Linked DNA regions of Caenorhabditis elegans. The protein of the gene in region 2 purifies or fractionates together with the protein of the main gene of each other region. This does not show direct contact. Each region holds a gene or a part of one and is shown on either strand. Other genes may lie near its edges. The genes, in order: arp-6, dnc-3 and arp-11.

Region 1 (3,755 bases), 4.5 Mb from region 2:
ACAAATCCGAAACCTTGATGATTGGCAGTTACTCGATCTTTCGGCATATTGACACTGACAACAGGTCCTGCTTGTACCATAAGTTCCCATAGGATGGACTCTGACACCTTCTCGTCTAATCCACCAACGTAAATTGTTGCATCTTGGTTTCTTTCCACTATCGGCCCTGCTGACATCTGAAATATTGATTTTTAAAAAATGAACAGCACATGAAAAAAAATAAGTCCAACAAAGGAAAATAAACCTCTGATCTCAAAAAAAAATATTTTGGCATATATATATATAAAACATGTTTATTTTAAAGTGATAAGAGATCAGTTCAGAAATCTTCATCTTCCTTTGGGGATTTCTCCCTCTGATCATCGAAATTACGAGTTCCCTTCAGTTCATCGGATTGCACAAGAGTCTGGAAAAAGTTAGAGAACTCCAACGAGTCTCCTCGTTCGTCCCAATCTTTTCGGTTGATCCATGGAACTTTAGAAGCAGTGAGAAGCTCTTGACCACAATGCCAGGAATGAGTTTGTGGGTTTATTACGTCATTTGAAACATTCAATCCATATTCTGCTGGCAGCATTGATCGAACTTCTCGTTCCAGGCGTTCACGAAATCCTGGGAAGCACGACGATCCGCCAATCACGATGATATTTTCTGCCAGAGCAGGCCGTAATGCTTCTGGACATTGACAAATACTCTCGATAACAGCTTCTGCGACACCACATTGATCAATATCAATATCCGAGGGACTGCAACAGATAAAATAGTTTATACTTTTTGCCGAAATTACTAACTTGAATAAGATTTCCGGAATGGCGAATCTCTCAACTCCCAAATGAATTGAAGGAATTTGTGGATCGTGTGGCTCTTTAACGTCTTTCACTACACCTCGGAATGTCGAGTGGAAATCCGGCATAATATATCGTTTCATTGTTGTATTTTCTTGAAATCGATTCCTGAATAAAAACAATATAATTAGTATTCTTCATTTTTATACCTACCTAGCCTCTTTCATGCTCTCATCAAAATTTTGTGAGACGAAGCAAAGATCCTCTTTACATTCGTTGATAACGTATGTTTCTTCGCTAACATTCAATTGTCGGTAAGATACCCAGTCCTTCAATTTATTTGTTAACGCTTTTCCACCAACATCGATCCTTAAAAATAAAGCTAATTGTAGTTTGAAAACACTTTCCAACCTTATAACACTATCCTGAATAAGCATTCCATTCACAAATGAAGCTACCGTAGTCCATGAAAACCCGGAATCCACAACAACTGCACACTTTTCGTTGTTGATTTTATTTGAATGTTTTGCCACCAAAGTCGAAGCAGACGTTTTGTGTACCTCTGTGAAGCCGAAATAATCAAACAATATTTCACTAGAGACATCAGGAAGAGCTGGGATTAGATAGTTATTATCTGTGAGTGCAATTCGAGAAGTAGACGCCTCCACATCCATAGATCCGAACGTTTTCTCCCAGATTTGCTGTTGTGTATCCCAATTCACCACATATCCTCTTTCAATTGGTCGCACATAGAATAGCGAAAACTTGTCCGAACATTCTTCTTGCTCGTGTGCAACAAAAACCCGCTTCTTTTCATGTTTCGCTTTCACAATACTGTTTGGAACTAATCTGAAAATATTTAAATTATATTGATATTTTTCTTATTAGAAACAAACCTAGGGGACTCTGAGTCTATCGTACCTATCTTCATATTATGGCCACCATTGTCAAAAATAATTGTTGTTAAACTCATCTACAAAATTATTTCACAGAATGAGTAGTGTGATTTTTCCAGATAAAAAATTAAGAGTAGGGTGGTAACCTATAAGATAACAAATAATTTCGAATTATCACAATATTCATGAAAGTATCAGGCACACAAGAAACAACCCGGTTATTGGAATTGAATTGAAAATCTATGCGTTTTTACGAATGTTACATATGCTTCTTAAAAATTAGGATTCCCACGTAAGGCGACCGGTCCTTCCCGTTGAAGAAGTTGCTGAAGACGAGCGACTTCTTCGTCTTTACGATCCATTTCTCCTACAGGAGTCCAGCTTCTGTCATATTCCAACCGATATGATCCAAGATATTCTTCTTTCTTCTCTTGGTATCCCCACTCGTTAGGAGCCAACATAGAGAAATATTTGTTCATGCTTCCTTGCTTCTGGTACAAATGGTAAATTCGGCCAGGTTGCTTCTCCATGTTACAGGGAACGTTATGCAAATGCTCATCGCGTTGAGCATCTTCGAGAACTGCACGAGCTGCCATATGTAATTGTTCCATTTGATCGGCAATTTGCTTCAGACGATCGCAAGCTCTTCCTTTCACCAATTGGCGGGCACTGTTTAACTGATTTGCCAGCGCGACCAAATCATCGGCATCAATTTTGTCAGTTTGACGAGCACTGGTTACAAGGCGCTGATCTTCACTTCGGGACTGCACGAGAGGAACGTTTACTGAAAAATTTAATTACTATTGATATCAAAATTTGTTCGTACTTCTTTCTCCTCTTTGTGGAAGCTGGACAAGAGGCATATCACTCGCCATTTCTACTTCATTTATCTCCATCTGTAACTAATCTTGTATTAAGCTGTGACAGGCCTTTAAAAACACATGCAATCGAAAATAGGCTGGACGGATTGAGACCAGAAATGATGCAAATATAAAAACAAATTATTGAACTAATAAATTTAATGTCTGATATTAAAACAAAAACAATCAAGAACCCATTTAAATTATGAGAATACAAATAAATAATTCAAGTACGTTTAGAATGCAATATCTATTGTTTTCTCTTCAATTCAAGCTTGGTTATGTCTGTATTCAGCTTGGATTTTTCTTTAGCGGCTTGATAAGCGTTGTCGACAAGTCCAACCAATTTTCCTTCCTTTGCAAGAATCTTCATCAATTCAATTACGAACGGAGTATAATTGTGACGTCGGCGATTGTTTTCCTTGCGGTACCTGAATTTCACACATAAAATATTTAAATTAGAGCATTTCTTACATTTCCATTTTGTAATCCTCATCAGCAATGGCTTTATTGAGATCGGCTATCTGCTCTTCAAGCTCATTATTTTCATTTGCTTGAATCAAGTTCTCCATCATCTCCTGCAGTTTCTGTTTGCGGTTTGGAACAAGTGCCATCAAATTGAACGTGATCTCCCCTTCGCTGTATTTTTGCATTCTTTGTTGAATTACGGGCTTAATTGCCTCAATCCAGTCTTGTTCTTTTTGGAACTCAGCAACCTCAAGTGGGAGCTCACGAAGCCCATCCAGCTCGTAGACCTTATTACCGATTGGCACGTATGTCACAAAGTGATAGTTATCCTCCGATTCTCCGCCTTTGATATCAAGTTCGAAAAGAGTCTGACGAGAAAAACTATTGTGAACAGTGCGAATTTCCTCGCTGTTCGAAAGACAATGACCGCGAGTATTCGGATCCAAGTCAATCGCGAATTCTTTGTACTGATTCAGGATATTTCCAAGCTTCACATCGGTATCTTCCACGTTCATAAGCAAGTTGATGAGAGCTTGAGTAGCACAAGCGTTTTGAATTGTTTGATGAGCAAAAAAGATGTTTTGCTTGTCACTAGGAATCCCAGTTGTTTCATCTCCCTGGCGCCACTTGAACAAAAAAATGAGTCCGTAAGTTGGTCTAAAAAATTAATTGTTTTATTTTCAATTTCAGAAAAAAATACCGTGTCATCGCTTTATCATCATCGAGCGAATACAGCTCCTCGACTTGAA
Region 2 (3,493 bases):
TTCTCACTTCCTAGATGCTCTGAAGCGTAGCAAACAGATTGGTTATGTGGTGGACTGTAAAAAGTAAGCTTTCCTCTGGAAAATTTGCTGAAAAATCTGAAAATTCCAGTGAAAACTCTGGTTGTTGGGCTCACGGAGTCGATGAGAATCCGACGCTTTTTTCGTTCAAACTAGATAATTTTGACGATCATCTCGAGGCAAGATTCCGTGGAAAATTCCAGAAGGATCAGGTTTATGACTGGATTTTGACGTAAGATTTTGACGTGGCCGTGGGGGATAAAACTCGGCCACCAAATGAAATTTCTCTTCCAGAACCAAGCAACCCGAGGTAAAACTGCTCAACGAGGAGCTGGTGCCGAGCTACCGTAGTGGAATGGTCCCAGGATTTGATCGCGCGCGGGAAACCGTAACAATTCTGTTTATTGACACGAAAAAGTCGCAGATTTGGAGGAATTACGCGAAATTTGCGCGGGAAAATCACGGGCGGTTCCATTTGACAGCGCTGGTGTCCGAGGAGGTCAAGAAATGGTAAGAATTGGTGGAGAATGTTGTTCAAAATTTGATTTTCCGTAACTTTCCGGGTCCTACCGCGAACGAAAATTTCCAACTACAGTACCCCACATGGTAGCTCACGTGGTGCCAGGCTGTCTCATTGCGGTTTGATCTACAAAAATCCAGGAATTTTTCCCCTAGCAAAGAGTGACGTCAGCACGTTCTTAACCATGGGAAATCAATTGAGAACTCTGCGTCTCTTCTCCCGCATTTTTTGTAGATCTACGTAGATCAAAAAGGAGACACTCTGACACCACGTGGTAGCTGAGAAGTTTTGTTCGTGCCAAGACCCAAAGCATGGATTTGATCGAAAAAATATTATGCCAGTCCGAGTTTTTAGTCGTAATCGCAACTTTTTGGGTCCTGCCGCGAACGTAACTTTCCAACTACAGTACCCCCACACGATAGCCAAATTCGTTCGTGCCAAGACCCAAAACTGGGATTTTGGCTAAAAATGTATTTTTTTTCAGAAGAAATTGAATTTTAACGAGAAAAATTGGTTTTTTTTTCCTGGAAATTTTCGAATTTTCCAAATTTCAAATTTCCCGATCTTTCAGGTCCATCTACCCTGCCTTCATCACGATGAAGCCCTATGACCCCTTCGTAAAAGCCTTCACACTTCATAAGGATCTCAACTGGAATCGAATGGTCGACTACTTGGAGGACGGTGTACACCCGGGCTGTCATCAATTGTCAAGTCCCTCCGATTTCCTCTTCGCCACCGGAACCCAGAAGCCTCTGGTCGTATTTTTCGACCCACTGGACTCTAAAAATTCTGAAGGATTCAAAAAATCTGCTGCCGAGCAGCAAAGCGGCGATCGAATTGCTCATTTTTCGGCTGTAACCGGTTTCGACCTGTTTGGACTGTATGTGATGAGCGTTTTTAATGTGAATTCCCCGAGCTATATTGTCATTCGGCGACAGGTACTTTCACTTTTTAACTTCAAATTAAATTCATTTTTTCCAGGAAAAAGGATGGTGCATCCACACAAAACCCGCTGAAAACGACAATTTCACTGGAATTCTTTCATGGGTTCGGAATTTGGAGCCAGTTCACTGCCAGGAGCTCATTGAAAACTTCAAGTTCCCAATTGCTCGTTTGAATCTGTTGGAGCGGTATGATGACGTGGAAGAGCTAGAGAAAGGGTTCACGGCCGTGGAGTGGACTAGGGACGAGCTATAGGAATTTTAAAAAATTGCTCTGTTGTAATTTGGTAAAAATAAATAATTTAATTTGTTTTAATTTGATGTTTTACAGATTAAAATTGCATTAAAAATTTATATTTAAGAATTAATTAATTTTCCCTGCTCGTCATTTTAAATGCCAGTTCCGCAGGTACACCGCCACGGTAGATTGCGGACAAAAGAATCCTTTTTTTAGCTGTTTTAAGGAAATAACAAGAAATTTCGATGAAAATTTTCAGTTTTAAGCTTTCATACTAAGATTTAATAAAAAACAGACAATTTTAATGTAGAATTGCAGGCGATATCCTAGTTTCCACACTGAAAATCACTTGCGCGTCAAATAAAATGCAAAGTACGCATTGACACCGTCACGTCCCATTGCACACAATTTCTCAATTATTATTTTTCTTTTTCGATCTTTTGATTTTAAATCTGAAAATGGACATGATCGAGCTTGAAAAAAAGATTTCTGAAATTGAAGAAGTTCTAGGAATCGATGATCTCACCACGGTAAGCTTTTTTCGCGCAATTTCCAATAAAAATGCCAATTTTTTTTCCAGAAAACATCAATTCCCTCTCAAATCGAGGCTCTTCAATCCAAATTACGAGATGATTGTAAGGCGAATCTGCTAATGTCGATTCCCATTCAAAAGCTGGAGCATTTGAGCAAAATCGCCACGGAAGTACGTTGGAAAAACTGAATTTTCTGTGAAAAATCGATTTTTCAGACATCCGGCCCATATGGATCGCTGACTGACAAAATAGAGTCTGTAAAATACGCGGAAAAGCTGATCAATGAACGAGCGGAACGGATTAAACAATTTTCAGATGCTCTTGAGGTCTTTTTTTGCGATTTTTCAGAGAAAATTGAAGAAAAATAAAAAATTTCAGCCCTGCCTCGACCAGGAGCTCTTCTCAAAAGTGGCTGCACTTCAACCGGAGCTTGACGCTGAAATCGAAAAATACGAGAAGGCCCTGGAGGACTGGACCAAGTAATTGCAGTTTTTAAAGCCTAAAAATCTGAAATTTCCAAAATTTCAGAACCTACGGAGAATTCCAGACACTTGTCGCCGAGCGGTCAATGATCAACCAAAAAATCACCGAAAAAGTGCTGGATCTGCAGACGAAAATCAACGCAAAAGCTAAATAATTAAATATTTTTTCGCTGGATTGTAATTTATTTTTATTTTCTTTGTTTTCCTGTAAAAATTGAAATTCTACAAGTTTTTTGTTAGACAGAAAGACGAATTGGCAGCAATTATCGACTTTTCGAAGTGGGCAAGATGATGACGTTGTTTCGGGAAATTGGAAAATTTGTTTTTTTCCAATTTTTTTCCTCGCAAGAAAAATAGTTTTCTCTCCATTTGAATTACTAGATTTTTCAAAAAATTTGAACTTTTCTCCGTGGAGCGCGCTTGCATTATTAGATTTTACGAAAATTTGAATATTTCTCAGTGGAGCGCACTTACACCTCACTTTTTTCCAAAATTTTTAGTAATTCTCGATGGAGCGCGCTTGCAGCAAGGTAATTTTCAAAATTTTCCCAAAATCTCTATGTAGCGCAGTTGTAATCCAAAATTACAGCTAATTACCAGTAGAGCGCGCTTGCATCAGTATTTTTAAAATTTTTTTGAAATCAATTATCAGTGGAGCGTACTTGCATCCCAATAAATTTCATATAGTGCCAGGCTGTCCCATTACAGTTTGATCTACAAAAAATTCGGGAATCAGCACGTTCTTAACCATGCGAAATCAG
Region 3 (3,755 bases), on a different chromosome or scaffold from region 2:
TTGAGAAATCGTTAACCCCCTGCTCTTCGGGAAGATTGTCATATTCGGGCTGAACCTTTCGAATAGACGGAAGTACCAATTTCTGAACATTGTAGAAGTTTTTGGTTAATTACTGATAAATTATATATTTTCAAAACTTTGGGTGTGGCTCAATCACTCGGAAAATGAGCGTTAATTTGCAATCTTAGAATAATTTGAGACTGTGAATATTAAAAATTAGAGTATACAAACTTTGCTTACAATTTTATGTTCCTTGTGGAATTAAAACTCACTTTTGATGTTGATTGAAAAGTTGGATCAAAACTGTCATCGAGTAAATTTGGCATCGTGAAAGAAACACGGCAAACGCCGTGAAGCAGAAGTCTGGAAAAATTATTTTTGAAACGTTTTCGAAATTTCTGGAGAAAAAAACACGAAGTCGATGCAGAAGAAGAAAAAGCAGACGTTGAACGTGGATAAACTGAAGAACTAGAGACCGAGGGATATAGAGAAAGGGATTCAAGTGTGTAACTTCGTGTGCTTCTATTTCACAGTGATTGCTTGAAGAGGTGGAGACGCAGACGAAATGTTGTCATTCCCTATGCCTTGCGACCGGGCTCTCACATGTCGAGAGCAGGGCTCTACTGGCTCCGCTCCAAGTGATGACACTTGGTTCGTTTTGAACGATATCTATTGCAAGGAACTTTTATGTTAAGAGAGAAGATCCGTTCGAATAACGATATAGCAAAAAGTTCAAATGAACTTTGTAAAGGTGACCTACACAATCAGATGTTATCGAGAAAAATCTAAACATCTTGTTCAGCCATTTTAACTGGGTTGTTTTCACCATGAAAAAACACGGTGGTGATGCTGAGCTTAAGTACACTGTTTGTTGAAGATGACCAGCAACGAAAAAAGCAAACAAGGCGGAGGAGAATGTTTGCCAGAGTCTGGTAGTTTTTCTAGTAAGAATCCATAATTGCAAAAAAGGAAATCATATCCCAAATAGTTGAATATTGAAAGACGCAAATTTTATATCTCCAAAATTTAGGATTCCTAAACGAGTCAAACATTTTTTCTATTTAGCCTTCCAGATATTGAAAATAATAAACAGGAATTTTCCTCAAATCTGGATGAAGATCGATGGTTATTTTGAAAAATTAGTACGCAAAAAGAGATTTCGAGTCAGAGAAATGGATACAACTAATCTAAACCTGCAATCGATGATGTCTCTCTCATTAAAAATCAAAGTTAACCTATTTTAGTTCACTATCAAGCAACAAATCCTTTAATAAAAAGATTACTGTAATTACGCGAAATGATAAAAACTTATAAAAAGTGATAAAATAATTATTTAAACTGGCGGTAAACGAGAAAGCGATAAGAAAATGTCTGGTGACGTCACTCAGAGTCGCAAAAACTTTGCGCGTAATATACTGCGCGCGGTACGCAATAGAAGATACATGGTGTTTGCACACGTATACGGTAAGCGCTCAATTGAGAACGACTTTTTTGTTTTAATGTTTTATCAAGATTTTACTTTAATTAGACGAATCAATCATTATTTATTGTGCCACATTCGTAATTACTCCTTTCTTTTTAAGATTAAATCATCTTAAAATCAATATTGTAGTGTTCAAACTGGCATCAACTGCTCAATCAACGTTGGAGTCGCTGAAGGCGGCTCGACGGAGTTCGTCGGGAGTTTCAAATCAATCAATCTCGCTTTCATCGACAACTTTATCTCAAGCTATCAGTTCAATCGATAATGGAAAAAGTGCAGTTGTGGTTGAGATTGGAAGCAAGTTAACGAAGTTTGAGTTCCACTGTTCTTAAATTTCATAATTTTACTATGTTTAGAATTGGATGTGCCGGAGAAATAACACCTCGACATATTATCCGAACAGAATACGTCGATGATGAAGGAAAATTGATAACTTCTGATGAATTATTAGCTCTAAACAATCGGAAGACTGCTACAAAGTCCACCGAGTACTACGAAGAAATTCTCTATAAATTCTTGAGGATTGTATTTTTAAAGTGAGCCTCTCTGGCCTCGATTAACTTAAAGCTTGGATTTTAGAGTTTTGGCTCCCACTGACCGTCCAGTGATATTTGTGGAAAGCATTTTCATGTCAGAATCCCTCCGCAATACCATCACCAAAATTGTTGTCGAAAAGATTCGTTGCAAATCTCTAATGTTCATGCCATCTCATGTTTGTGCCACATTTCCATTCAATACTCAAAATGCTCTCGTTGTCGATATTGGACATTCAGAATGTATCGCAGTTCCAGTTAGTTCTTATTTTTAATTTTTGAAGAGCATAAGAAAATATTTCTAGAAAAAAATCAACAAAAGAGTAATTTTTTACCATCTACAATTTTAAACAGTTAAATTTTTTTTAGAAATTCAAATTTCTATTTATGATTTATTGCAAATTGTATTTTTTTCAGATTATCGAAGGTGTGACAATGCTGAATGAGTTCGAATCAGCTCGCTCGATTTGTGGCCGACAACTTGAACGAAGAGTTCGGGAGCAAATGGAGAAATATGGTCAAATTGCAGAATTAAATGGAGAGAGACGAGCAATTACAGAAAACGATTGGCAAGATATTGATGTAAATATCTAAAACTTGAAAAAACTCAATAACTGAAGATATGTTTTAGGCGTGTAAACTTATCGAAACGCTTAGTTTATCACTCATTTGTCTGGATAAGGAACGGGCCGAAAATTGGACAAAATGGGAAGCGTCAGAAGAAGGAGAAAAACCGGATATTGAGACACTTTGCAAAGAAAGACTATTTCCGAATAATGGAAAAATATTTGTAGTTCCTCCAGTTGTATTGTAAGTTTTAAAAGTTTTTTCTTACCAGAAGTTTAAAAATTGAATGTGTTGGCAAACGTTATCAAATATCATGGAAAACTGCAATTTTTTGTTTAAAAAATGTTTATTCACAGACAAAAAGCGACATAAATTATGTTCGTACCATTTTTTCGTGAAAACTAAAGCAATGTCGCAATTTAGAGCCTCCCTCCTGACTGTTTTAATATAAATATTTTAGAACAAAAATTGGAAAAATTACTTTTGATCGACGACATCCAAAAAAGCTACGCTTCGCTTGCTTCGCTTTTTGCGTTGCTTCGCTTTTTGACTGAATAAACAAAATCCAACATTTTTTGAAAAGTTTTCCTATTATATTTCGTCATATTAGCAACAGAGAAGTTTCTAAAATTACTTATTTCTCGTAGTTAAAAAGTAAATTTTTTTAAAAACTCCTTCTATGATATCATGAAATCTGCCACCTACAGTAATCCAAACAATTTTTATTATGCTCCCTATATTATTCAAAAAAAAAAACAGAAAAAATTAAATTCTGAACTTCGATTGTAAGAGAAGCCGCGTATTACCTTTAGTACTTATTATTTCAGCGAAACAAGTACTGAAATCTTCTTCAATGAGAATCTCAATCCTACATCATTCGATCTTTCCCTTCCGAAACTTCTTCACAAGCTGGTATCAAAATGCCCGATTGATCTCCGGAAAAAGCTATTCCCAAATATACTTTTAACTGGTGGAGTCTCTACAATTCCTGGTCTCATGAAACGTTTGGAACAAGAAATTCAAGTTATCGACGAGAAAAACAATTCCAAAATTGCCGTAATTGTAAAATTCTATCAATTTTCGGAAATCAAAAACACGCCACTTTTCGTTTCCTGGCTCGGTGCAAGTCTATTGGGATCACTTCGAGAGACAATTGAACGCAAAAGTTTAAC

The links.
Region 1: the proteins of dnc-3 (region 2) and arp-6 purify together in Caenorhabditis elegans (affinity purification with mass spectrometry, with the first as the bait; one study listed by BioGRID). This does not show direct contact.
Region 3: the proteins of dnc-3 (region 2) and arp-11 purify together in Caenorhabditis elegans (affinity purification with mass spectrometry, with the first as the bait; one study listed by BioGRID). This does not show direct contact.

The regions. Positions count from the first base shown.
Region 1 is NC_003280.10:8,035,592-8,039,346, forward strand, and holds arp-6 (Actin-like protein C08B11.6), read right to left. Parts: upstream 1,756-3,755; coding exon 1,679-1,755; intron 1,632-1,678; coding exon 1,194-1,631; intron 1,152-1,193; coding exon 996-1,151; intron 951-995; coding exon 789-950; intron 744-788; coding exon 320-743; 3' UTR 286-319; downstream 1-285. Other genes in the region: sap-49 (Splicing factor 3B subunit 4), read right to left, coding at 1-176; C08B11.9 (uncharacterized protein), read right to left, coding at 1,951-2,462, 2,505-2,553; Ubiquitin carboxyl-terminal hydrolase ubh-4, read right to left, coding at 2,789-2,969, 3,013-3,663, 3,707-3,755.
Region 2 is NC_003280.10:3,551,661-3,555,153, forward strand, and holds dnc-3 (DyNactin Complex component), read left to right. Parts: upstream 1-2,119; 5' UTR 2,120-2,175; coding exon 2,176-2,247; intron 2,248-2,297; coding exon 2,298-2,420; intron 2,421-2,465; coding exon 2,466-2,576; intron 2,577-2,628; coding exon 2,629-2,729; intron 2,730-2,778; coding exon 2,779-2,887; 3' UTR 2,888-2,957; downstream 2,958-3,493. Other genes in the region: W10G11.19 (DUF4105 domain-containing protein), read left to right, coding at 1-63, 110-250, 313-528, 1,110-1,476, 1,520-1,735.
Region 3 is NC_003282.8:7,900,348-7,904,102, reverse strand, and holds the start of arp-11 (Actin-related protein 10), read left to right. Parts: upstream 1-1,831; coding exon 1,832-2,019; intron 2,020-2,062; coding exon 2,063-2,273; intron 2,274-2,433; coding exon 2,434-2,598; intron 2,599-2,647; coding exon 2,648-2,826; intron 2,827-3,410; coding exon 3,411-3,755. Other genes in the region: cbpl-1 (Cortactin-binding protein-2 N-terminal domain-containing protein), read right to left, coding at 1-82, 273-326.